Linked DNA regions of Canis lupus familiaris. The protein of the gene in region 3 interacts with the protein of the main gene of each other region in a biochemical or structural test. Links are inferred from orthologs where the notes say so. Each region holds a gene or a part of one and is shown on either strand. Other genes may lie near its edges.

Region 1 (2,159 bases), on a different chromosome or scaffold from region 3:
TCTTGGTTTCAGGCTCAGGTCATGATCTCAGGGTCAGGAGATTAAGCCACCCCCACCCCCATGCTCAGCAGGGAGTCTGTTGGAGTCTCTCCTCTCCCTGTACTTCCTGCTTGTGCTCTAAAATAAATAAATCTTGGGGATTCCTGGGTGGCTCAGCGGTTTGGCACCTGCCTTCAGCCCCAGGCGTGGTCCTGGAGACCTGGGATTGAGTCCCACATCGGGCTCCCTGCATGGAGCCTGCTTCTCCCTCTGCCTGTGTCTCTGCCTCTCTCTGTCTCTGAATAGATAAATAAAATCTTTAAACAAAAATAAAAAATATATAAATAAATAAATCTTAAGAAAAAAAAAGTGTGAAAAGTGTGTGTCCTACTGAGCCAGCCAGGAGCCACTTGACCCTTTTGGGGACAACTCTTATAGGCCCAGAGCCCAGTGCAAGACTCACTGAACACTTGCCATGAGGAAAGACTCAGACTGCTTTAAACAAACACACACACACAGCATTTCTATGGGTCACTGAGGCCTTTTTATTCTGCACATAAAACCACTGGGGATCTTGCCTGTGGACACCTTGAGATTATTACATAGACAGACCTGGCTCCAGATGCTTGGTGGAAGTGAGGTGAGAAAGCAATGATTTGGACCAATTACATGTTTACAGAGCTAGGGTTCCCAGCAGGGTTCCAGATGTCAACTCTGGCTTCTGTAGCAATTCTAAGGAAGCTTTGAGAACATCACGGGGAAGGGAGAGGGCAGCTAACTAGCACAGGGCCCTGCCACTTTGGGCTGGGGGCCTTGAGCTGCCCGGGGGAGCAGAGGTCTAACGAGCTGACTCAGGACCACAGGGTGCGCCACCTGGACCTTACTTGGCAAGGGGGTTTCTGAAGCTTCTGCCGGCGAACTTGGCCTTGCTACCCAGTTCCTCTTCAATTCTTGGGAGGCAGAGGAGAGAGGGGGAGGGGGAGGAGGAAAAGAGAAGTCAAACATCTGTCCCCAAGGCCCACATCCCCTACCCAGATAGCAGGGACCAGCCTCCTCTGGATGTGGCTGCTCAGAGGCGGCAGGAAGAGAGGGGCATTTGGCTCTTGTGTCCACCCAGCTACCCCAGCAAGTGGGCCACTCACTGCTGCTTCTGCTTCCCAACCTCCCCCGCCCCCAGCATTTCCCAAAGACAAAGTAGAAAAAAGGGCAGAAGTGCTAGTTCTTGGAAGAGAAAGAAAAATGATTTTAATGAAAGGACAACCCAGTTTCTTTAGAGGTGGCATAAGGACACACACTCGGCGTGGATGTTACAGAATGACCGAATCCCCGGCACTCTCATGGCATGGGGAGAGCAGGGTGGTTAAAAAGTAAACAAATGTTTCTCGGAGACCTATACTCAGGTATTTACAGGTGAAATCTTAGAACTGGAATGTGCTTCCAGTTCTCCAGTAGAAAAGGAGGAAACGTAGTGTATGAAGAGAAGCCCCGTGGGAATGCCGACAGCTGCCCTGTGTGGGTCACAGGGCAGATGTCCCACCAGGCACCATTTAAGCAAAGGGTAACCAGGCTGACTCAAGACTGGAAAAAGGAACAAAAAAATAGACAAGTCTCCATGTTCAGGGGCCCCCAAGGACCCATTATGGTAATAAAAAGGGACCAGAACATCCAAAGGCACTGGGTTCCAGTGGGAACCTGCCTGTCCCCCTTCTATGAGGCCCGGTGTCCTCACTCACAAAACACAGTGCTGGACTAGTCAATCACTAAGGCTTCCTGCTGGCTCTAAAAATTCTAGGATCACATTATTCTAAAGGGGACCTGTTCCCTCTTCCACCACAAGATGGCAGCATGGTCCTCAGCCTCCAGCTCTGGGCCCATGCCTCAGGGGATGTAGGTTCTGTGCTGGGGCAGCCCCTAAACCAAGGGCCCCCACCTGCATACCCCCCATAGAACCAGGGCTCCCCCTGGAGGATGGTGCCCACACACTCAGTGCAGGTTGGCTTCCTTTTTACCTGAGGATCTGGTTGTACTTGGCCAAGCGCTCAGATCTGCATGGTGCACCCGTCTTGATCTAGAAGGGAAAAGAAAGGTCACTTGTGTTTGTCATGGATGCTCAATCTTCATGGGCATTTAGGGCAGAAAGGAGGGCATCAAGGGGCATCCAGGATCCCATCCTCCCCCTC
Region 2 (4,063 bases), on a different chromosome or scaffold from region 3:
GGTTTGGGGGGCTCTGGGGGGCTCAGGATAACATCACTGGAGGGGAGACTGGGGCTCAGAGGGGCTCAGAAAGGGCAGAAAGCAGAACTAGGACCTTTCCCCGAAGCACACCCCCTTCCCAGGAGGAAACCGTAGCCCCACAATGCCCAGCCCCACAGGAAACCACGTGATGGAAAAAACACAAAACTCCTTCTGGGGAGAGAGTGAGAAGTGAGGGTGTGAGGTTTCCTCAGCCCAGGGACCAGGGGAGGGGGCATTTTCCAACCGCAGGGATGGGGGGGAGGATGGAGGAGCACATGGGTCCTGCCCAGACACACTCCTGCCCTGTCCAGGAGCAGTACCTGGGAGGCCACCCCACCCCACCATTCAGGGATAGACCAGGGCACACCCCACACACACACGCCCACTCTGGCAATGGGGTGGGGGCTGACCCTCGTCCCCCTGGCCCAGGATGAGGAAGTTTCCATGCAAATATCAGGCTGACCACAGGCAGAGTGCTAGCCATTGGCGGGACAAATGCAAATTCCCTCAGAGGAGGAGGGGCAGCCTCCAGAGCCAGGAACACAAGAGAGGGATGGAGAAAGAGCCTCCCATACACAATCCCAAGGTCAGGGGTTAGCCAGGTGTCCTGATGTGAGGGACCAAAAAGGCTTCTGAGAGTCAGCTTCCCTGGCCTCAATACCCTCTATTCTTCCCTCCCTGCCAGCCCCCAGCTCTGTCCTCCTCCTGCTACTCCAGGCCTCAGGCTCTCCCAAGGAGAGCTTCTCCTTCCTTCTTCTGGCTCCATCCACAACCTCCTGCTCCTCTAGGGGCTCCACCAGCCCACCATCTAGCAGGGCAGAGGCTGGTTTAGGCCAAAGAGGAAGAGAGGACCCCAAGAGTTCAAGAGGGTCTGAGTGGCAAACCCCCATGAATGCTGTCAGCAGGATGGAGGAAGAGGGCAAAAGGGTGTGGATACCAAGAAAGGACCAAGGAGGGCCACCATGAGCAGTCATCCAAGCTTGGGCTTTACTCCTCCAAGAGGTGGCTTCAAAGGAAACGGATTGATGGCTTCATGTTGGCTGGAGAATGGTGTCCAGCAGTGGGCCACGAGGCCCTCACCTAGGCCTCATCCTCACGCATCTCAAACTTGCCATCAGTGACTTGAACAAAAATACTGGGCAAGTTAAGAGGCATGCATCTTAGAAAGAGTGAAAACTGATGGAATCAAGGTCCATCATTAGGTCAACAGTCAATGCACAAATACAGGACAAGAGCAAGCTGCCTTGGCCCCAGAACGTAAAAAAAAAAAAAAAAAAAAAAAGCTACTAGAATTATTCGTCTGCCATTCACCTTAATGGAGCTGTCACTGGGATACAGCTGCTGAAATAAGCCCCCAGTGTAACGCTGAGTGTTCAGGCTCCCAACCCCCACCCATGCTTTAGGGAGACCATGTGAGGGGCAGCCTGCCCGGTCCTGGAGACCACATCTTTGGAGCCAAAGGGGACAGGAGGGCAATGCCTTGAGTACTACCCTGTGCCCAGATACTAGGCCCCTTGCACACACGACCATATCATAGTTATCCACCGATCTGTGTTCCAGGCAAGGGACTGGTCAAGCTCTCCCAAGTCCCCAAAAGGAGACCCGTCATCACTGTGTTACTGAGATAAAGCATTAAATGTCCTCATAAATATAAGTCCCTATGTTCCTCCTCAACATCAATCTCTCCATGTATTAACCTGTCCTGGAGGAAAGAATAGTATGGCAAGGCAGATTTGTTTCCACAGAAGGAAGGAGAGCTTTCTAACAACAGAGCTGGCCTACTACCAAATGTAGCCACTAGGCCTCTCCATCACTAGGAGGGCCTGGGTTGCCAGCTGGTGGAGACCCTGGAAAAGGGGAAGGTGATGTCCCCTGAGGCATGAGCCTGGGATCACACAGAAGAAAGAGGCCCACAGAGCCCTGGGCAGGACAGGGTGGAAGTCAGCCCGCCTCCACGTGGGAGTGGGCCAGGAAGCCCCTCACCTCTCACTGGTGGGGTCGGAGCAGTTCAGCGGGTACTTGAGGTGGATGATGGTGCCATCTCGATCCTGCAGGACGCCTTGCTGCTGCGTGTAGTACTCCACTAGCTCTGTCAGCGTCGCAAACTTTTCCCCTCCATACAGGTCATAGAAATCTCCTGAGTTCTGGATCCGAATGTGGGTCACCTGATCCCCCACCCTGCAGGGCACCGGGTGGTGAGACCAGTGGGTGCAAGAGGAGAGATGGGGACAGAGGGGGGATGGGCTGAGGTCCAGAGTCCCAGGCACACACAGGGGGCGGGGGGGACACATTGGGTGCCGGGGCCTGGGGAGTCGGCACTGCCACAAGGGAACCAGAAGGGAGCCACTTGCCCTGGCCGGAGTTGGGGGCCACCTACCTGACGGAGAGGGAGAAGTCACCCTGGTTCTTGCGACTGGGCCGGGCCAAGAAGCTTCCATGGACACCGCGGCCCTTGAGCAGGGTCTCTGCATCCAACCCGCTGAGGTCTCGGTGAAACCACCTGGAGGCCCGCAGAGCAATGAGGAGAGGTCCTTCCTTCCATCCGCAGGGCCCCCTTGCCTCCTGCATCCCGCAGGCCCCAGGACCTTACCTCACCATCCTGGGGGCTCCCTGAGAGGAAAGGGGTGCAGGGAACGAGGTGCACTGGCGAGTCCGGGCGGGCAGAGAGCTCTGGGCCTAAGGCCTCCACACGGCTCTGCTCGAGCGCCCAGGCTGCCTGTCAGCCCTGGCCGTGGGTTCTGGGGCTGCCACTCCACTGGCCCCAGGGCCAGCCGGCAGCAGGGCGGGGACAGGAAGGGGCGCGGCCGACCCCTTGGGGGAACTCACTGTACTTCTCGTTTTAGGGCAGAGCGAAGAGAAGCCAAGCGGGGTGGCAGTGGGGGTGGGGATGGGGCCCACTTCCCACACGGCTGCCATCAAAGGCTCCAGGAGCATGGCACTCTGCAAACGTGACGACACACAACATAGGGACACAGCTATGCCTGGCACCTGATGTGTGGAGGCCACGCTTCATAAGCATGAACCCCTGCAGTCACAGGCCATCTCATCTTCCTCCACAGGCTGCTTCCACACACCCTTCCCCTCCCCTGTCCAAGCTCGTGATAATGGTGACGGTGACAACTCTCGTTCCACAGAGTCTCACTGTAGGCCAGGCACCATGCTAGCATGTCATTTATGTACCTCATCTGGTTTATTCTTCCTAATAGCCCCACAAAGCACATGCTGTTTTTTCCCCCATTTTACAGAGGAGGAATCTGAGGCTCACAGAATGTAGGGAACTTGCCTGAGGTCAGCCAGTCGGTAAGGGGTGGTGCTGGGATGTGACCTCACACTGTGGTTCCCAAGCCAGGGATTTTAGCAGCTGTATGCCAGCCCCTGGGGACTCAAAGGACAGAGGTGGGGACCTCTTGTCCACTGGGGGCTGCAGGGAAGGGGATACTTTATTAGAAATAATAGCCAAGGCCAAGCAGATGCTTGCAAAGGGAAAGGCACCCTCACCTCCTCTGGCACACACATCTGAAGAGGCACCACCGGGACAGAGGGATGGACAGAATGACTCCTGCACAGCTGTCAGACTTACACCTTTTCTACTTCTTATCCCAAGTCTTTGCCCCACTGTGCCCTAACCAGGTAGTGGAGCCAAGGAACAGAATGCAAGGGGCAGCAGATCTAGGAATGCAGGTGGGGGTAGCCCCCTTGGGTATGTCCACCCTATGCCTGAGCCATAGATTCTTGTCAAGGGGTCTGGTCTGAATCGGCTCAGAGCTCAGGACTGTGACTAGGGGCCTGTCTCCTGTGGGCTGGGGACCGAGGTCCCTGCCATGATTGATATTCTCAGGGCTGGTTGACATTGAGAGGCCCTACACCCCAGGAGCTCATGATGATCCCCATGTGTAATTCCACATACAAACACTGGGATCCCTGGGTGGCGCAGCGGTTTGGCCCCTGCCTTTGGCCCAGGGCGCAATCCTGGAGACCCGGGATCAAGTCCCACATCGGGCTCCCGGTGCATGGAGCCTGCTTCTCCCTCTGCCTGTGTCTC
Region 3 (4,227 bases):
CTGAGGCCTTTGCCTCCTCTCTTCTAGGGTTCACCTCCCAGCTCCTCTTGGGAAGAGAAGCCGAGGCCTGGTGCTGTTTGACCTGGATGGGCCTTAGTTTCCCATCTGTGAAATGGGAGAAATTTCAAAGAAGGAGAGACAAAACAGGGATGGTATTTAAAGCTGGATTCACACTCACCCTTCCCTATGCCATGATTCCAGGAGGACTAGTGAAGAGCCAAAAGTGGGGTGCAGTTTTGGAGCATGGGGTGAGATTGTTGGCATAGTGTTTGCAGAAGCCTTTGTGGCCTAAAGCAGCATTTCCTTATTGTCCCTTTTCTTTGCTCTACTCCTTGCCCCCTGCATCCAGATATAATTTGCCTCTTTATTTTCTGGGAAGTGTGATTGCCACTAAATACTGGCTTCAGCCCCCTCATAAGCAGGAATATCTAAAACTCAATGACTTCTGATAAGCTGCCTTAGTTACTGTTTTGTTTTTTAAATGCACATTAAAATGAACATATATCAGGGCACCTGGGTGGCTCAATCAGCTAAGTACCTGACTTCAGCTCTGGTCATGATCTCAGGCCCTGGGATGGAGCCCTGCCTGCAACTGGCTCCCTGCTGAGCAGTGAGTCTGCTTCTCTCTCTCCCTGTGCCCCTCCCCCTCCCCCTGCTCTCTCTCTGAAAAGAAATACAATCTAAAAAAATAAAATAAAATATAAAATGAACGTGTATCTATTAAAATAAATGTTGCTCTTCCCTACACTGTTCCTCCTGCCCCGGTCCTTGCTTTGGGAAACTCAAGTCAAGGCGGGTCCAAGGCCTGGTTCTCCTCAGGTGACTTCCTTCTCTGTGCCTCAGTTTTTCATCTGTAAAATGGGGATAATCATCAGCCTGCCCAGCCTAGGTGTTGTTAGGAATAGAGCCTTTTAAAAGTCGACCTGAGCCATTGGCATGGTGCCTGGGAAAGAGCAAAGGCTCCGTTAGCGCTGACATTATTATTCTTATTACCGGTAATTGAGGAAGAGGTGGATTTGGGGTCAGCAGGACGGGTGCTTGGGCCCGGTTAGGGAGGGCATTTTGGCTGGGGGGTATTTAGGGGTCCCACAGGGTGGGGCGCTCTCACGGGTCGGGGTGGGGGCAGGGTTTCTGTGTCCCCGCCCCCCGCCTGCCCCTCCGCACCCCGGCTCCTGCGGCTCCTGCGCCCACGGGGTGGGGCCCGCGCGTGGGTCTCTCCCGGGTCACCGCGGGGAGTCGGGCCCCGCACGCTTCCTCCTTCCTCCTCCCCCCGGCGGCCGGCCGGGCCCCTCCTCCCCGCTCGCGCGCTCCCTCCCTCCTCTCCCCTCCCCGGCCGCCGCCGCCTCCTCCTCCCTTTCTCTCCCGATCTGTCTCTCCCGGCCCGGAATCCATTCCGGCCTGGGAGCCGGAGCGGCCAGGCCGCCGAGTGCCCGACCCCGCCGTCCCGCGGTCCGCCCTCCCGCGCGTCCGTCCGCCCGTGCGCCGCCGCCCAGCGGCCCAGGTGAGCGCCCCCCGCCCCTCCGCGGGCCCCGGTCCCCGCCGGCCCGGGGGAGCCCCGCCCGGACCCCGTGGCGTCGGAGGGCGGGCGGCGGGGGGCTCGGGGCCCCGCTCCGGCCTCGCCGGGTCCGAGGCGCGATCCCGGGGCGCTGGGCGGGCGCAGGGGGACCTGCCCGGCGCGGCCTTTTGTTGTGATGCCTTGGGGGGGAGGGGGCGGGCGGGGGCTCGGGGTCCGGCCGGCGCGGGGGCCGCCGCCGGCTCCCCCTTCCCCGGAGCCCCCGGAGCCCCCGGAGCCCCCGGAGCGGGAGCCCGGCCGAGCCCCCGGGCCAGGTCTAGGCCAAATCTGAAATCTGAGCCTGTCGGCGCCGCCTCTGGCCGCGGCTGCCGGGCCTGGCGCCCCCGGCCGGGATGGGAGGTGGAGAGGGGGCGGGCAGGGTGGGCCTGGGGGCGCCGAGCCAGGGGCGCGGGCCGGGGCCCCAGGACCACCCTGTCCTCCTGGAGCTTGGGGTAGGGCCTGGTGCCGCGGGTCTGGAAGGGACAGGGCCGCACTGTCGGTCCACTGCCCCCAGCCCCCAGCCTCGCCCCTGGCAGGCCCAGCCGCCTGCCTGCTCAGAAGTTGGCAAAAGTTTTGGGTTTTCTCCACCAGGCTGGGTCCATCTCCCTGCCTGGGCTTCGGTTGGGGGTGAGCTTAGGTGCCCACAGGGGCTGCCGCTTGCCCAGCTCTGTGTGGTCAGGCAACTGCCTACCCTCTCTGATCTGGGGGTCCTGATCAGTGGCAGGTGGGTCTGGCTGGGACTGCTGGGCTGGTGGAAGGATGACGGTAAACAGAAGAGGCTCACCTATGGGGTATCAGTTCTGCCTCTGGGGCCTTCAGGCTCACTGGCCGGTGGGCCGAACAAGTGAGGCTTGTCAAGTGGGGCTTCCTGAGCTTCAGGACCTCTACATTTGGGGCAGGGGTCCCTGGGTTACCTGGGATGAGTCCAGGCCCAGACACAGTGCTGCTGAGATCAGACTTGGTTTCAGGCATAGACCAGGCGGGTCCTGTTAGTGCCCCTCTTGTCAGCCTCCTGGCTGGACAGACAAGACTTCTTGTCTCCCTGGGTGACCTGGGCCAAGGGACTGCCCCTCTGAGCACCCACATGTGGAATGGGGGAAGAATATATGCACTTCTACGTGTAGGAGCTCAGTGTGTAGTAGGTGCTCAATAAATGAGTGCTTCACTGGATGAATTGCCTAAAATGGGAGGGGGCTGAGGGGGCTGGTCCCAGTGGGGCTTGTGTCCAGAAGAGGATGGATTGGTGTCCGAAAAGCCACCTGAGAGCCCCTTGAGAAACAACTCCAGCACCATCCTGCCACCCAGCAGCTGTGTGACCTCGAGCAACTCGCTGCCTCCTTGGGCCTCAGTCTTATTAAGTATAAAATAGGCCAAATGGAGAAACCGAGGCTCAGAGAGGGGAAAGGACTTGACCAAGCCCACACAGTTTGAAGCTGGAATGAGAACGTACACTTCAGAGACCCCAGTTTGGCTGCCCTTGACCCCTCCAGTGTGGGGGGAGCAGGGGTTTCTCAGTATGGGACGAGGCATGCAACGGTGTTAGACCATACAGATTGATGAGTGATTGCATGGAAGCCACGAGGTCCTCCTGGGGATGTGGTGATGTGGTGTGCCTCGGTGATGTGGTCTTTCCACCTAGGGAAGTGATTTACAGTGTGTCACCTCTCTCAGCTGACTGCCTGCCTAAGCCCTTCTGTGTGGCTCTTGGGCTTTTTTCCTCCTGTAGGTGTCCCTGCCAGGACTGCCCTCTCCTCTGTGAGCTGTTTATCTGTTCTTACTCTTGAAGACTTAGCTTCAGGCCCACCTCTTCCAGGAAGGCTCCCTGGCTCTGCCTCCCCTCCCCATCCTCTTCCTGGAGCATGAACTCTCCCCAGCTCACAGCACAGTGCCTGCTGTGGCTTCTTCCTGATTGTGACCTGGCGGGTGGGGGGGGATGTCTGGCTCCCGCGAGCCCCAGGAGCCAGGGAGGACATGGCTCAGTGACCTGCTGACAACACTCCCCAACCCCCTGGTCCTCGTTGATCCCATTTTCCAAACCTGCCCAGATGCAAACATCCGTGACCCTGTGTGAGCCTCTGCTATATGCTAGGAGCTTCAAACTCAGGCTGAGCAGTGTGGCGAAGGGGTTAGTAGTGGGAGTTGTAGGAGGCATCAGGGGGCTTCCAAGAGGTGAGGGAGGGCAAGAAGTTTGCTCAACAAAGAAGGAGGGAGGGTGCTCTTTCTTCTATTCGGACACTTCCCAGGGTTGCTGGGATTGTGGAGGTGGTCATCCTGCTGCAGAATTGTGAACAGGTCCCTGGCCTCCTAGATATTTGAGTCTAGAGGGTGAGCCAAATAGCAAACAAGTTACCAAATAAATTAATATATAATCACAGATGCGATAAGGGCTCAGAGAGAGAGGCGTGGGGTGCAGAGGAATTTTGAAGGAAGTATGTAGGAGTTGGCCAAGCATGGAGCTGGGGAAGGGCTTGTCAGGCAGAGAGAAATGCATGTGCAAAGGCCCTGAGGTGGGGAAGTGTGTGTTATAGAGAAACGATGGGAAAGCCTCTGAATTCGGAGCACAGAGAATTAAGGAGAGTGGGTGAGAGGTGAAGTAGGGGGTGTTTTGGGGGGTAATCACTCATATGGCTGGACCATATGGAGCTGTGTGGGCCTTGGGGATGAGTTTGACCTTC
Region 4 (3,500 bases), on a different chromosome or scaffold from region 3:
CAGTTTCCTCATCTGTGAAATGCAGATAATGGCACATACTTTACAGGGTTGTTGTGTGGATCAAATGTTAGTAATGTATGGAAAACACTGAGCACAGAGGCCGGAGTGGAGCACATGCTCAATAAACAGTAGCTTTTAAAAAACTGAAAAAGTTTCATACACAGCTACTTGCCCAATGTATGGATGAGATTTGGTAAACTAAACTTCCCCCGGTATAATCATGAAGCCCAGACTTGGGTGCCAGGAGGCTGTAAACCGTGGTGAGATGCCACGGGCAGGGCTTCCAGAGGTCTGGGGAGGGAGTAGTCCAAATCTTTTGAAGTGAACAAGTGTCTTATCAGGGGGAAAAATGCATCTTATTCCTGCAGCAGAAGAGAATAGGATCACAATCAAAGTGATTAATTCTAAACTACCATATTAAAAAAAAATCACATATACACACAAGCAAACATCACTAGACTAGGTAAAGGCTGCCTGAGGATAAGGAGTAAGTCCACCACCCTCTGCCCGGCCACCACCAATACCTGGCAGTACTGTAGGACCTATGAGAAAAATACTCTATGGTCAAAGTGTCCCTTCATGCAGTTTATGCATGTCTGAAACCGAGATGAAATTCTTCTCACAGTGAAAGGGCTGGGGGTGGGGAGGTAAAGACAAGCCCTGGGCATTAAGAGATGGGACAGGCTGCGGCCTGGAGAGGTGGCAGGGGCCGGTCACCTGCAGTGAACCACCACAGGCCCTGCATCCGTAATGCTCTCCTGCTTATGATGGACCTCCTCCAAGAAGTCCAGCACGCCCCCAGGGTCACTGGGCACTCCGTGGTCCGGCCAGGTCCGAAAGTGGTATTGCCACACGGTTCTCTCTGTATTCCCCTGGAGTAGAGCCAAGAAAAACCAGAAAAGAATTAAATAAATCAAGGGGTTGAGGAATCGCCCATTTCTGATCTTCCCTGGACCCAATGTGAGCCAATGGAGCAGACCAGCACCGAATCTCCCCACGTTCCATTTAAAGGTCAGACAAGCTTCCAAATCATGTCTCCTTTCGGATCTGGCTGAGCAATCCTGAAGGCAACTGTTTGCCTCTGTCATAAGAACCAAAATGTCGGGATCCCTGGGTGGTGCAGTGGTTTAGTGCCTGCCTTTGGCCCAGGGCGTGATCCTGGAGACCCGGGATCGAATCCCACGTCGGGCTCCCGGTGCATGGAGCCTGCTTCTCCCTCTGCCTATGTCTCTACCTCTCTCTCTCTGTGTGACTATCATAAAAAAATAAAAGCCATCTGTATAAATGGTATATAAACTTTAAAAAAAAAAAAAAAAAAAAAAAAAAAAAAGAACCAAAATGTCCAGTACAGCGATCAGTTCCTTGGGAGGCTACAACCTGAATCAGCTTTCTGAATCTTCGGTGGCAGGCAATGTCCATCTTCCTTGTCTGCGTGTAGCTCAATTCAGGAGGCAACTGAAGCCTCTGGGACTTGGGGCTTTCTTCCCAGCAGATAAGAAAACAGCTACCCTGTCAAGAGTATTCCTCTTTGTCTTTTTATACCCAGCCCTCATCCCCTCTCCCCAAACACCCACTTTTATTACAACATCATAGCAGTTAAACCTTCTGTTTAGCGCAAAGTAGGTAAGTAGACAGGCTTTGTGGTCAGAAGGCTGGGTTTAAGCCCAAATTCCAGCATTCATAATCACCGTCATCTCCAGGCATCTCTAAGCCTCAATTTCTTCATTTGCAAATAGGAATAATCATCTCTCTCACAATACAGTGAGAGGGATTAAACAAGACCAATTAAACACACAGCCGCTACTTGGCAGCAATAAAAGAATCGGCCACCGGTGCTCTTCTGAGGAGAGGGATCAGTAACCAAGGTCAAGACTACAGAAAACCATCTGGGTCTACCCACATGAGGTCACTGTAGCAGTGCTGCTGATTGCTCCATCTGCATCTTATGTATCTGAAGGAAATCCAAGCTAGTGACGTTATTAAAGGAGATTTTGAAAAGAAAGAAAAATGAAGCCAGTGTCTACCACCGGTGACCTTCAGGACATCCAAGGAATCTAAACCACAATTAAGATCTTTTCTTGAATTATGTGCATTTAATTTATCGATGTCACAATAAAAAATTTTCTTGACATTACCAGTTAGCTAAATCTCGGGGACTACCCCGTAAGGACACTCAAGGAAGGAGACCCAGCTGCCCTGAACATCCTGCTCCCGTCCTTGGTATATCTCTGTCCCAAGAGATCTCTGACCCAGCTCCTCCCTGCTAAGAAACTTAAATGAGATCATGTCACAGCACTTTAGAAAAAAATGTGTTCTATAAAAAGCAGGTAAAAAATGTGTTTCTATAAAAAGCACGTGACCAGCAATTCTGGAGAAATGATCTGTCCTGTGTCGGCACCTGAATCCACGGGTATAAGACACAAACCCAAATGTCAATATTTCCTGTACCTGCTGCTCAAAAATCTCTGTTAACAAGAAGATGGATACTTTATCACTAAAACTGAAGAAATATCAATCTGCTACTCAGAAACACCTGATAATAAGAAGATGGGTGGTTTAGCCTAAATCTGAACAAACCTATCTGGAATCTCTGGCCAGTGTACTCTAAATCTTTTCCATTTCAGCTTGACAGCTATGCTTTTCCAGCTTCTCAATCTCTGCAGCAGAGTAACCCTCCGCCTCATCCCACCATCAGCAGAATCACACCCCTGCTAATGTCAAAAGTCCCAGCATCCCACTCTGGACCACAGCCACCCAGGTTTCCAGCTACCTTTGGTCCCCTGACCATCACCTTATGGAGCTCAGCAGACCACTGAGCCCTCTTCTATTCTCCACCTGCCTTCTTCTAACCTGCTGCCCCACATCAGGCTTAGATTCTACATACTATTCTTTTTTGTTATTTTAAAGTAGATTCTACACCCAGTAGAATGGTCCAGGTAAAAGGTGGTGTGGTGGTGGCAGGGTGGTACTTTGGTACTTTCCATCTTTACTTTGGAGCCCAACATGTGGCTTGAACTCAAAACCATGAGATTAAGAGTTGGACGCTCAACCAACTGAGCCACCCAGGTGCCTCCAGAGTACTATTGTGACAATCACCCTCCACTGTACAGCTCTGCTCCCTCCACTCTCTCTCCATCCACAGCACCCCTGGGAAAAGCCCCAGGCCTGGACAAAACCAACCACCCACCTTCACCATTTTATACCCGAGGAACAGTGTCCTTGGAGAAAAATCACACCAGGGAATTGGTGTCACTAAACGTTCATATTCACCTATTCAAATGGGCACTCAGTGCTGCCTGAAAATTCACTGGATTCCTCATCATTTCTACACATTATTATTTGGTATTTTTCCCACTTTCCCCAGATAATTCATCTCTGATTTCCTTCTAATTCCAGTTGATGGCCTTGCTATAGACAATAGCAAGAAAATACATGTCAGCTCCTCTACCTGCATCTGTGGTCACCTCTTCCTCTTCCCGTTCTGCTGACAGAAGAACTAG
Region 5 (3,990 bases), on a different chromosome or scaffold from region 3:
GCGGGGTCGGGACCGTCCTGCAAGGACGAGGACAGGCCAGCGCCGGGGCCGGGGTGAGCCCCGCAGAGAGCGGGGGCCCGGGCGACAGCGATCCCGAGCAAGCTTAGAGCCTTAGGCGGGAGACTTAGTGACCGGAGGAAGCTTTCCTGGCCGAGGCGCTGGGGGTTGGGCTTGAGCCTCTGGGCGCCCGGGAGCCCCCGGGCGGGGGCGGGAACGCCGGCCTCGGGCTGTGAAATGCGCCCCCCCGGCGCCAGGGGGCGCGCGTGGGAGCTGCTGAGGGACCCGCCGGGCTCGGGGGCCGCGCGCCGGTGCCCACCCAGCCCCGGGCCAGGACCCGGGAGCGGCCGCCGGAGGTGGCGGGGGTCCGAGCCCCTCGTGGCCGCGGCCTCGGGCGCCCGCCTTGCGCCCCCCTTTGCAGCGCGAGCTCGGGCGTGCAAGGCGCCCGCGCGGGTGCGGATGCGGGTGCGGGTGCGCATTAAGGCGGCGGGGGCCGCGGCCGCCCCGACGGCGGGGACTCCCGGCCGCGATGGGAGGCAGCTGTTCTCCCAGGCGGCCGCGGGGGGCAGCAGAGGGGGCGCGACAGGTGCGGGAGCCCCTCCCGGGCTGGAAGGGAAAAGGCGGGCTTCGGGTCTGTTCCCAGGCTGGAGGCCGCCCCGCCCCCGCCCCCCAAATCCCCCGGAGAGGCCGGGCCGGCGCCGGGTCTGCGGGAGGAAGCGGCCGGAGACAGCGCGATTTCACGCGGCCTCGGGGCTCGGCTTCCAGGGCAGCGTGGACGGATTACGGGGCCGGAAGGGTCCCGGGGAAACCGAGGCGCCTGAGCGTGCGGCCCGCGCCTTCCTCACAAACACTCACGGAGAAAAACATTCACATTCAGGGAGCCCCCCCGCCCCGAGTGACCCAACCGGCTGGGGAAGTTGAGTGATCTGGTTAATGGGCGCGGCCAGCTTTCAGGGGCCGGGCTTCGAGGCGCCCTCCCCGCCCCCAGCACCTTTCCCCGTCGGAGGCGCTAGGGCGTCTGCAGTCCCGGCCGCCCCTCGGCCCGGCCCCCGGGAAGGTCCGGGCGCGACCCCGGCTCGGCTCGCGTGGCCCGGGGACGAGCCCCGGCTGCAGCGCCGCCCCCCTCCCCTGCCCGGCGGGCCCCCGCCCCGGCCCGGCTCCGATTGCGCTCCGCAGCCTCCCCGCCGCCGCTGCCGGTCGCTGGCGGCTCAGGTGGCCCCGCTCGGATGTCCTAGTCGGGGCCCCGGGCCGGATCCCGCGGGGCCGCCGCCGCCTCCGCGGGCGTCATGAGGGCGACGGCGCCGCTGCAGGTGCTGGGCTTCCTGCTCAGCTTGGTCCGCGCCTCCGACGTGGGCAACTCCCAGGCAGGTAAGCGGCGCGGGCGCCGGGGGGGGGGGGGGGGCCGGGCGGGGGCGGGGGGCGCTGGGACCACCCCGGCGGGGCGCTGCGGCGGGCTCGGGGCTCCCGACCCCCCACTTCTGATCTGCGTCGGGGTGGGGCCCCCCGGGACACCCCGCTCCCCTGGGCGCTGCGGGCGGGCTCGGCGCTCCCGACCCCCCACTTCTGATCTGCGTCGGGGTGGGGGCCCCCCGGGACACCCCGCTCCCCTGGGGAGCCCTGTGGGGACGGCCGTGGGGCCTCGGCTCCGCAAACGTGCGGCGGCAGTGAGGGGGGTGAGGTCCCGGAGAGTGGGGGTCCCGGCCTGTGAGCCCACCCCCTCCCTCGGTTTCGGCGCCTCCAGTTTCGTTGTTTTGCCGACAGGGCGGAGCTAGGGAGGGGTCGGAGGGGGTTGTTGTTTTCTACTCTTGGAAAAACAAGAGCCGCACCTCCTCTTCCGTGGACCTGCCCCGGGACGGGCGGAGGCGCACCTAAGGGCCAAGTACAGGTGACATCGGGGTGAGAGGCCACGCAGAGGCCGACCTCCCTCATTTCCTCAGGATAACCAAGCTGGCTGGTCCCCGGCTTGACCAACCTCTTGTTTTTTTTTTTTTTTTAATTAATTAATTTATTTATGAGAGAGAGAGAGAGAGAGAGAGAGAGGCAGAGACACAGGCAGAGGGAGAAGCAGGCTCCATGCACCGGGAGCCCGATGTGGGATTCGATCCCGGGTCTCCAGGATCTCGCCCTGGGCCAAAGGCAGGCGCCAAACCGCTGCGCCACCCAGGGATCCCCCAACCTCTTGTTTTTGTCAAGACCCAGATCAATTCAACTAATATTTATTGAACATCTACTACGCACAGGGTCTGGGCCAGGAGCTGTAGGGTTAGGGGCCTGCAGCCTGGACTTGTCTGTCTTTTCTCCCCCAACCCGAGACCAACAGGGCGCCTCTCCCACCTCCTGAGCTTCCAGTCTGGGAGTCCTTCCCGGACCCAGCTCCCCCCCCACCTACATTCTGCTTATTGTCTGACTCTGTCTCCTGGAGTCTAGACAACAGTCAAACTGCGCCTCTCTTCCTCCTCCCACTCCCATACCATCGGAGCCCACCCCCTTGGGGTGTCTCTGGGACCGTGGACACCTGAGGGTTCTGGTGTTGCTCGAATTGGAGGAATCCTGTTGATCTCTTCCCCTCCCCCAGACCTCAGCTTGGGATTTGGGAGGGCCAGGGCCTCTTCCCCAGAGTGGGAGTGGGAGAAACACCTGTGCTTCCCCCACAGTTGCTGGGCCTAAATTTAGACTTGGGATCTTGACTTTGAAACTCCCAGCTGGTGGGGGGGTGGAGTGGAGGGGGGGGTCTGGGGACTGGAGTGGGAGGGACCAAATAGAATGACTGGGTCACTGTCCCATCCAGACCCTTGGAATCTTCAACCAGGAACCCAGGAGTCCCAGATCCTGGCCACCTTCCCTTGGGGCGACAGGAGGCAGGCATGGTTGGGTTTCTTTACCCTTTATCTGGATCCTGCAGCCTCTGGGCATCCGGCCCTGTCTCAGTCCTTCTATAGTCCCTTTGTCCTGGCTGTGATGGGGGTGGGGGCTATTGGAGAGGAGGCCTCTGGTTGAGGAGGCAACGAAGATTCCTGGTCGACCCACCCCAGTGCTCTCTACCAAAGGAGTGCCAGGCCCCTCCCTAGGCCCCTGGTCCCCGGGTACAGTGGGGCTTTTCCTTACTCTCTTCCCCCTTCCCTCCTCCCCATGCTGCCTGTTCCTCCTTAGAGGTGGTTTTCACGCTCTCTTCCTGAGCAGGCCCTTTGCTCCCTGTTTGTGTAATATGGACTTTACCCTCAGGATGGCAGAGAACTGGGACCTCTAACCCTTTAGCCTTCCAGGCACAGACACAGAGTCTGCACAGACACCTAAGGCAGGTGGGATAGATGGGGCCACCTGAAATACTTCCTCATAAGGAACCCCGAGGACAGAACCAGTATAGATTTCTGGGCCAGCGGGGAGCGGTGTGCATGCTTGTCTGTGGGTGTGTGCGTGTGTGTCCCTCGTGCATGTGCACACACACACACATCACATACATATCCCACTTCTCCATGCAGAAATCTTGGCTCCTCCCTTATCTGGGGAGAGCGGTTGGCGCCTTGACTTGCAAGAGGGGGTGTCCTACCAGGAAAGGGTTTAGGGTGGGGCTGTTCCCTAAATGATTAACCTTCCTAGTTTCTTTACTTTCAGCCCCAGGACCCTAGAGTTCCCAGGCTCCTCTGGGAGCTCCCAGCCAGTTTACTCCTCTGCTGGGTCTAGCCCACCCCCTTCCTTCCCATTGTGGGGAGTGAAAGGGGATGGGAGCCCTCCAAAGTCCAGTGGTCAGACTAGGGGTGTATCTAGGAGGAGGGGTTGGAGCCTCACTAATCTCTCCTCCTCCGTTCCCACTCCCGCCTCCTACTAAACTGCCAGCGCCTCAGGGAAGGGTGGTGAGAACAGGTGGTGTCTACCCCCCACCCTCCCCCGGCCTCTGAGCGGAGGGGAGAGGGGTGGGGCTTCGGGGTCCCGCCTTTCCCTTAGCCCCTGTGTCCTCCATACTTAGAAGGGCAAGTGAACCCCCAAGACTGCCAT
Region 6 (3,500 bases), on a different chromosome or scaffold from region 3:
CTGTCCTTGCTCCCACGGTCATCTGTGCTCCCCCAACATGCTCCACCCCTGGCAGCCTCCGCTCTGTCTGGGGTCTGGGGTGGCCCACCTCGGGGCGCCTTACCACTCTGGAGATGGTGAGAAGCAGCTGGGGGGTGACCCTGGAAGGGTGGCCCTGAGAGGGTGACCCTGGTGTGGGGAGCCTGGTGGGGTGACCCCGGTGGGGGGGCCTGGAGAGTGACCCCGGTGGGGGGAGTCCAGTGGGACCCCCCCTAGGGTGTCCTGCTAGGGCAGCAGAGGCGCTATACAGCTCACCCGAGGAAGCAAGATGGTATCTGCCATTTCCGGGAAATGTGTGTAGACTAAGGTGGGGGACACAGCGAGAGGCGGGCAGACGATGCCGCACACCGGGGTAGACACCCACGGCCATGCCAGGGTAGACACCCACCACGCCGCAGTAGACGCCCATCCCGTTGGTGTAGACGCCCGCCGAGGCGTGTGCGGGCCCTCCGTAGAATTCTCTCCGGGTTTTCTCTGCTTGAGGATGTGGATAGTCCGACGTCGGGTATCACACGGGTCTGACCGTCGGGAAAGGCGATTTTCTGGGCGGGCAGCTTGCCCTCGGGAGTCCCCTCTCAGCCAGGAAGTGTTTTGTTTTCTTCTGTTTCTACCCTTTGTTCAAGCCCTGAAATCAGGAAATAACCGGCTCCTGTGGGTCGTGCAGGCCCCGCAGCCACGAGCCTGGGAGGGGCCTGCAGGAGCAGGAGAGGGGGCTGGGCCTGGTTTCCCAGAGCCCAGGGGTGCTGCCTCCGCTGTCCCCGCCACACTCAGCGGATTCGGGGCTGGGTGGGCGGGGGGGAGCTGTCTGGGCACAAGGGGCCAGTGCTTGTGAAGTTAGCTCGGGCCCAGGGCGAACGGGCGCTGCCACCGCAAGGACCCCCCTCTTGCTGCTGTCCCCGGGTTAGCACTCGCGGCTCGTGGCCTGCCTTGTAGAGCCCACGGGGACTGGAGGCTGGTGATGCAGTGGCCCTGCTCGGGGAAGGTCCCTCTGGGAGGCGGGGCAGGAGGCCGGCCAGAGGCTCACCCAGGCCTGGCACCCAGGGTAGGGGCCTTCCCCTGAGTCCTCCTCGGACTCCTTCTAGGATGGTCCCTCGGGCCAGCGCCAGAAAACGGCTCCCGCCAGCTCGAGAAGCCAGCCTTGTCCCTGGGGTAGACAGGAAGGTGACTGGGAAGCCGGGAAGCTGGCCGGTGGGCATGCTGGCGCAGAAGAGCCAAGGGCCGTCCTCCAGTTACAGCCTCCCAGAGGCCTGGCCGGCATTCCCGCGGTGTCCCAGGGGGGCCTCCCCGTGATGTCCTGGGCGTCGCGTTGTAAGGTCATTCTGCGTGTTACAGTAGGGGGTAGGGCTTGCCTGGTACTTCGTGCGGTGACACAATGTGGGGCGCGGGGTAAGGCCAGTCTCTGTGGCATTCCACGAGACGCCTTTAGAAGCGGAGCTTCATCCATCCCATGTGACGTCACTAGGGGTCAGCCGTCAAGTCATTGTAGGTGACATCACCCAGGCCCTCCAGAATTTTGCGCTTTGAGTGACGTCACCGAGGAGGGGAGTGGCTACCACCGCATTCAGCCCGCCGCTACCAGGGGCCAGGCTTGCAGGGTCTGGCCTTGTGCATGACGTCATCGGGAGAGGGTCTGAGCCACCATGACGTTCCACATGATGTCCCTGGAGTGCAGCCTTCCTGACGTGCACGGGGTATTCTCGGGGTGCCGCATCTGCAGTGTTCTGAGTGATCACACGGTGGGGGACCCTTGGACTCTAACACGTGGTGATGTCATTAGCTGGCAGGGATTTGGGACATGGTCCCCACACCTTCTGGAAGTACGGAGCCAGCCCCAGAACGCTGAGCCCTGCCGCCTGCCCCTGGGGACCTGGTTTCCCCAGGCGGGGTTCCCCAGCTCCCCCACATGGTGGCACTAGGCACCTGCACCGGGACACTTTGTGACGGTGCATCTGTCCTGCCTGCTAGCCTGGTCGAGTCTGCCGTGGTGCTGAGTGTCCGCTTGTACGCATACCCTCTCTCCCGGAGCCCAGAAAGTGCCCCGTGGGTGTTTGGGGGTGCAGACATCATAGTGCTACTGTACGGACTGCAGGTTAGGGGACCTGGTGTCACAAAGCCCCCAGGCCTCAACGGCTTAGCCTAGCAGAAGCTCATTTCTCGCTCGTGCGACATCTGATGCAGCGCTTCTTAATCATCCGTCCTCCAGGCAGCGACCGTAGGGCTCAGGTCCCTCCATTAGTGGCTCAGTGTCCCCCTCTGGGCCCTCTGTGCCCAGCCTGCCGACAAGTAGAGGGAGCGCAGCGTGGTAAGGACGGGTGCTGGGGGCAGGCCTGCAGGCGGTGGCATTGCTCCCGCCCCGGTCCCCTGGGCAGAGCTAGTCTCGCGGTCGCACTCGACGCAGGACGCTAGGCACAGGGGTGGCGGTGTGCCGGGTGGGGATGTCGCACGTGGCAAGCAGCGGGCACTGGCCACAGTGAACGAAAGAGGACCTGGCAGGCCTCTACTGGATGACCCCAGGGGACTCTTCCCCGACGACTGGCCCATCCTCAGCCCCCCCCTTCATGCGCTCACCCCCCCCCCCATCTGCCATCCTCTCAGATCACACCAGGAAGCAAGGCCGCCCAGTCCCAGCTCAGCCAGGGTGACCTCGTGGTAGCCATCGATGGAGTCAACACAGACACCATGACCCACCTGGAAGCCCAGAACAAGATCAAGTCTGCCAGCTACAACCTGAGTCTCACGCTGCAGAAGTGAGTGGAGCTCTGCAGGGCACGGGTCAAGGGGTGGGGGCATCAGGCCCAAGACAGGGTGTCCGCAGCAGCCACATGGGCCCGGCCCGTGCTGCAGGCTCACACGGAGAGGTGAGGCGGCCTCTGGACGGGAAGAAGGACCGGGCCTTCCACGCCTGCCATGCCTGAGTCTCACTGTACGGATGAGGTCGGGGGTGGGGGGCGGTCACAGTGCTGCCAGCGTGTGGGCAGGCGGGCCTGGCAGCTGGGGTCTTCCCTGCCTCCTTGCTGCCCCAGACAGCCTCCCAGGGACCTAACAGAGGCCATGAGTGCAGAGTGCCCAAGGGCCATGCCTCCTCCATCCTGACCAGGCCCGGGGCCTTCCTGGGGTCACTCCAGTCCGTGCGGTGGACAGCGGGCCTCGGGGTCCCTGGCCTGGCTCCCCAGCTCTCTGATGCTCTCCTGTCACCAGCCCTGCCCCCGCAGGAGCTCCCGGTCCTCCTGGCAAGTGTCCTCACTTGGCCCTCTTTCTGGTTTCTCCAGGTCGAAGCGCCCCATCCCCATCTCCACGACAGCGCCCCCGGTCCAGTCCCCTCTGCCGGTGATCCCCCACCAGAAGGTAGGTGCTGAGGTTGGCTGCGCTTCCTGGGGTACTGCGCCGAATCGGCCTGCCTGGTCCTGGCTTGGCGCAGCCCTGCCCTGCCCCTGCTGATGCTGTGGGGCGGACCCCGTGAA
Region 7 (2,016 bases), on a different chromosome or scaffold from region 3:
AGGTCTCCAGCCCTGGCCAGAAGCCCCCCTGCTAGAAGAAACTCCATGGCCTCCCATAACACCCTGTTTCTCCCAGACTGTGTGCCAGTGCCGCCGAAAGAACTGTGGGCAGCTGGACATCTTTCCAACCCGAGACGCCTACCATCCTATGAGCGAGTACCCCACCTACCACACCCATGGGCGCTATGTGCCCCCTGGCGGTAATAGACGCAGCCCCTATGAGGAGGTGAGGAGGGCCCCGCAGGTGGAGGGAGGCAGAGGTTTGGGCTGTGCGGGGCTTCTGAAAATGCTCAGAGAAGGTAGAATAGGAGAGGGGCACCAAGTAAGTGGTGGTGGTGGTGGCGGCCCACGGAGGCAGGAGGGGTGGGGTGGAACAGCGGGGGGAGGGGAGGAGACCTTGAGAGGAAGGGGATCTCAAAAGAGAGTGTCCCCACGACCAGCATTTCCAAAGCAGCATTCCCCGCTCCGCTGAACTGGCAGCACAAGCTGCTCCCTGGGACCCAGGATGAAAGGGATGTGACGCCATCAATGCAGGATGAGCACCTGTGCCCCTATTCATTTAGCTCCTAGGAGCAGAGAGTGGATTTAGAAAGTCTGGCAGGAATAGAGGGGGTCTCTGATGTGGGGGAGAAGTATAACCCATCCAGGTGAGCCTGGGTGCCAAGGGGTTCTCAGGAGTCTGGAGGAAATGAGGACCCCTCCTCCTTGTTTCTCACCTGGCCTTTCTCTCCAGGACCTAGTCAATAATTACTTGGGCCACCTGAGCGACACTCCAGGTCGGGGGAGGGGAATTTCCTTCCCTTGAGCCTGTTTTCTTTGCTCAGAGACTTCCTTCTCCCAGTCTTACAGAGGCAGATACTCCTGCTTGGGCTGGAGGAGCGCGATGGAAGGAGAAAGGGGCAGTAGGGGAGGGCGAGGGGGCTGCTGAGAGCCGAGGGGGGCAGTGAAGGGGACCAGAGGGAGGAGGAGTGGCCCTGCGCCCTGTTTACAGTCACCTGGCTGCTGCTAGTGCCCAGCAGGTGCTCTCCTAATTAACCCTTTGAGAGTTAGACTCTCGGACCTATTACCCCACCCTGTGGTGTGATCCAGGAGCCACTTCCTCCCAGGAAACCCACAGCTTCTCAGCCCATGTCTCCTCCCTCCACCCAGGTTTCTGCAGGCAATGGGGGCAGCAGCCTCTCTTACATGAACCCGAACCCAGCAGCCACTTCTGCCAACTTGTAGGAGCACATTGCCTGCCCAGCGGTCCAGATGACAATGCCACTTGCCTCCCCCAGACCCCCACCAGAGTCCTCTCCTCTCAACTGTGTTCTGGGCTGGTGAACTAGGGGGTTCAGGTGGGCTGTTCACAGACCCCACCATGTCCCCTACCCCATGTCAGCCCTGCTGATGAAGCCCATCCGAGCCCCTTGGGGACAGGGGCTCCCAGGAGGACTGACCCAGAAAGCCCCGGGTTGGAAGTACAAACCAGACCATGGCTGAATAAAATGGGGACCTCATCTGTGCTGACTGCCAATTTTGGATCTGTCATCTGTGACCCATAGGTGGGGGGCAGGCTGGGGGGGCGTTGGAAGGGATCTTTGCAGGAGTTGGGGGCAGGGAAAGAAGGCAAGGAATAGGCTTTGTCTGGAAAGCAGGAGACGTGGAGAGATGACATTGGGGCACAGGTCACCTCTGGCATCCCTGGTGGCACACAAGGAAGGAGGAAACGAAACTGAGTTGGCTTGGAGGCCAGCATGACCCGAAGTCAGTGTGACCCAGCTCTACCTGCACCCCTGGCTCTCCCCTCTCCTCAGGCTGGGGGCTGGTGGCAGCCACGCCCTTGCCTCCCCTTGGCCCAGTGCCCATAGGCGGCTCTATTCTTAGCTGCCAGGGTGTGAAGTAAGTCCGTGGGCAGTGATAACACAGGCAGAGTCAACATAGAGTCAACAGGCCACGATAAGCACAGCATTAGATCCGGACGCTGACGCCAGGCCTGGCCCCCTCCCTGGCCAGCAGGGTCTGCTCTAGGCACCT

What was found.
Region 1: of the proteins of SRC (region 3) and ENO1, one has a biochemical effect on the other in vitro, tested with the Homo sapiens proteins (4 studies listed by BioGRID). The link is inferred for Canis lupus familiaris from reciprocal best matches to the Homo sapiens genes SRC and ENO1.
Region 2: of the proteins of SRC (region 3) and PTPN6, one has a biochemical effect on the other in vitro, tested with the Homo sapiens proteins (2 studies listed by BioGRID). The link is inferred for Canis lupus familiaris from reciprocal best matches to the Homo sapiens genes SRC and PTPN6.
Region 4: of the proteins of SRC (region 3) and PTPN11, one has a biochemical effect on the other in vitro, tested with the Homo sapiens proteins (2 studies listed by BioGRID and IntAct). The link is inferred for Canis lupus familiaris from reciprocal best matches to the Homo sapiens genes SRC and PTPN11.
Region 5: the proteins of SRC (region 3) and ERBB3 form a complex in vitro, tested with the Homo sapiens proteins (2 studies listed by BioGRID and IntAct, with this or other methods). The link is inferred for Canis lupus familiaris from reciprocal best matches to the Homo sapiens genes SRC and ERBB3.
Region 6: the proteins of SRC (region 3) and LDB3 interact in a test that uses a peptide from one of them, tested with the Homo sapiens proteins (2 studies listed by IntAct, with this or other methods). The link is inferred for Canis lupus familiaris from reciprocal best matches to the Homo sapiens genes SRC and LDB3.
Region 7: the proteins of SRC (region 3) and MUC1 form a complex in vitro, tested with the Homo sapiens proteins (2 studies listed by BioGRID, with this or other methods). The link is inferred for Canis lupus familiaris from reciprocal best matches to the Homo sapiens genes SRC and MUC1.

The regions. Positions count from the first base shown.
Region 1 is NC_049226.1:62,793,765-62,795,923, forward strand, and holds the end of ENO1 (alpha-enolase), read right to left. Parts: intron 2,048-2,159; coding exon 1,989-2,047; intron 930-1,988; coding exon 860-929; 3' UTR 501-859; downstream 1-500. UniProt on the Homo sapiens protein: Glycolytic enzyme the catalyzes the conversion of 2-phosphoglycerate to phosphoenolpyruvate. In addition to glycolysis, involved in various processes such as growth control, hypoxia tolerance and allergic responses.
Region 2 is NC_049248.1:7,997,202-8,001,264, reverse strand, and holds the start of PTPN6 (tyrosine-protein phosphatase non-receptor type 6), read right to left. Parts: upstream 2,801-4,063; 5' UTR 2,620-2,800; coding exon 2,612-2,619; intron 2,522-2,611; coding exon 2,399-2,521; intron 2,200-2,398; coding exon 2,005-2,199; intron 1-2,004. UniProt on the Homo sapiens protein: Tyrosine phosphatase enzyme that plays important roles in controlling immune signaling pathways and fundamental physiological processes such as hematopoiesis.
Region 3 is NC_049245.1:26,537,273-26,541,499, forward strand, and holds the start of SRC (proto-oncogene tyrosine-protein kinase Src), read left to right. Parts: upstream 1-1,427; 5' UTR 1,428-1,501; intron 1,502-4,227. UniProt on the Homo sapiens protein: Non-receptor protein tyrosine kinase which is activated following engagement of many different classes of cellular receptors including immune response receptors, integrins and other adhesion receptors, receptor protein tyrosine kinases, G protein-coupled receptors as well as cytokine receptors.
Region 4 is NC_049247.1:10,373,568-10,377,067, reverse strand, and holds part of PTPN11 (tyrosine-protein phosphatase non-receptor type 11), read right to left. Parts: intron 885-3,500; coding exon 718-884; intron 1-717. UniProt on the Homo sapiens protein: Acts downstream of various receptor and cytoplasmic protein tyrosine kinases to participate in the signal transduction from the cell surface to the nucleus. Positively regulates MAPK signal transduction pathway. Dephosphorylates GAB1, ARHGAP35 and EGFR.
Region 5 is NC_049231.1:757,162-761,151, forward strand, and holds the start of ERBB3 (receptor tyrosine-protein kinase erbB-3), read left to right. Parts: upstream 1-1,190; 5' UTR 1,191-1,283; coding exon 1,284-1,365; intron 1,366-3,990. UniProt on the Homo sapiens protein: Tyrosine-protein kinase that plays an essential role as cell surface receptor for neuregulins.
Region 6 is NC_049225.1:35,253,842-35,257,341, forward strand, and holds part of LDB3 (LIM domain-binding protein 3), read left to right. Parts: intron 1-2,634; coding exon 2,635-2,786; intron 2,787-3,308; coding exon 3,309-3,384; intron 3,385-3,500. UniProt on the Homo sapiens protein: May function as an adapter in striated muscle to couple protein kinase C-mediated signaling via its LIM domains to the cytoskeleton.
Region 7 is NC_049228.1:42,329,682-42,331,697, forward strand, and holds the end of MUC1 (mucin-1 precursor), read left to right. Parts: intron 1-76; coding exon 77-226; intron 227-1,149; coding exon 1,150-1,224; 3' UTR 1,225-1,516; downstream 1,517-2,016. UniProt on the Homo sapiens protein: The alpha subunit has cell adhesive properties. Can act both as an adhesion and an anti-adhesion protein. May provide a protective layer on epithelial cells against bacterial and enzyme attack.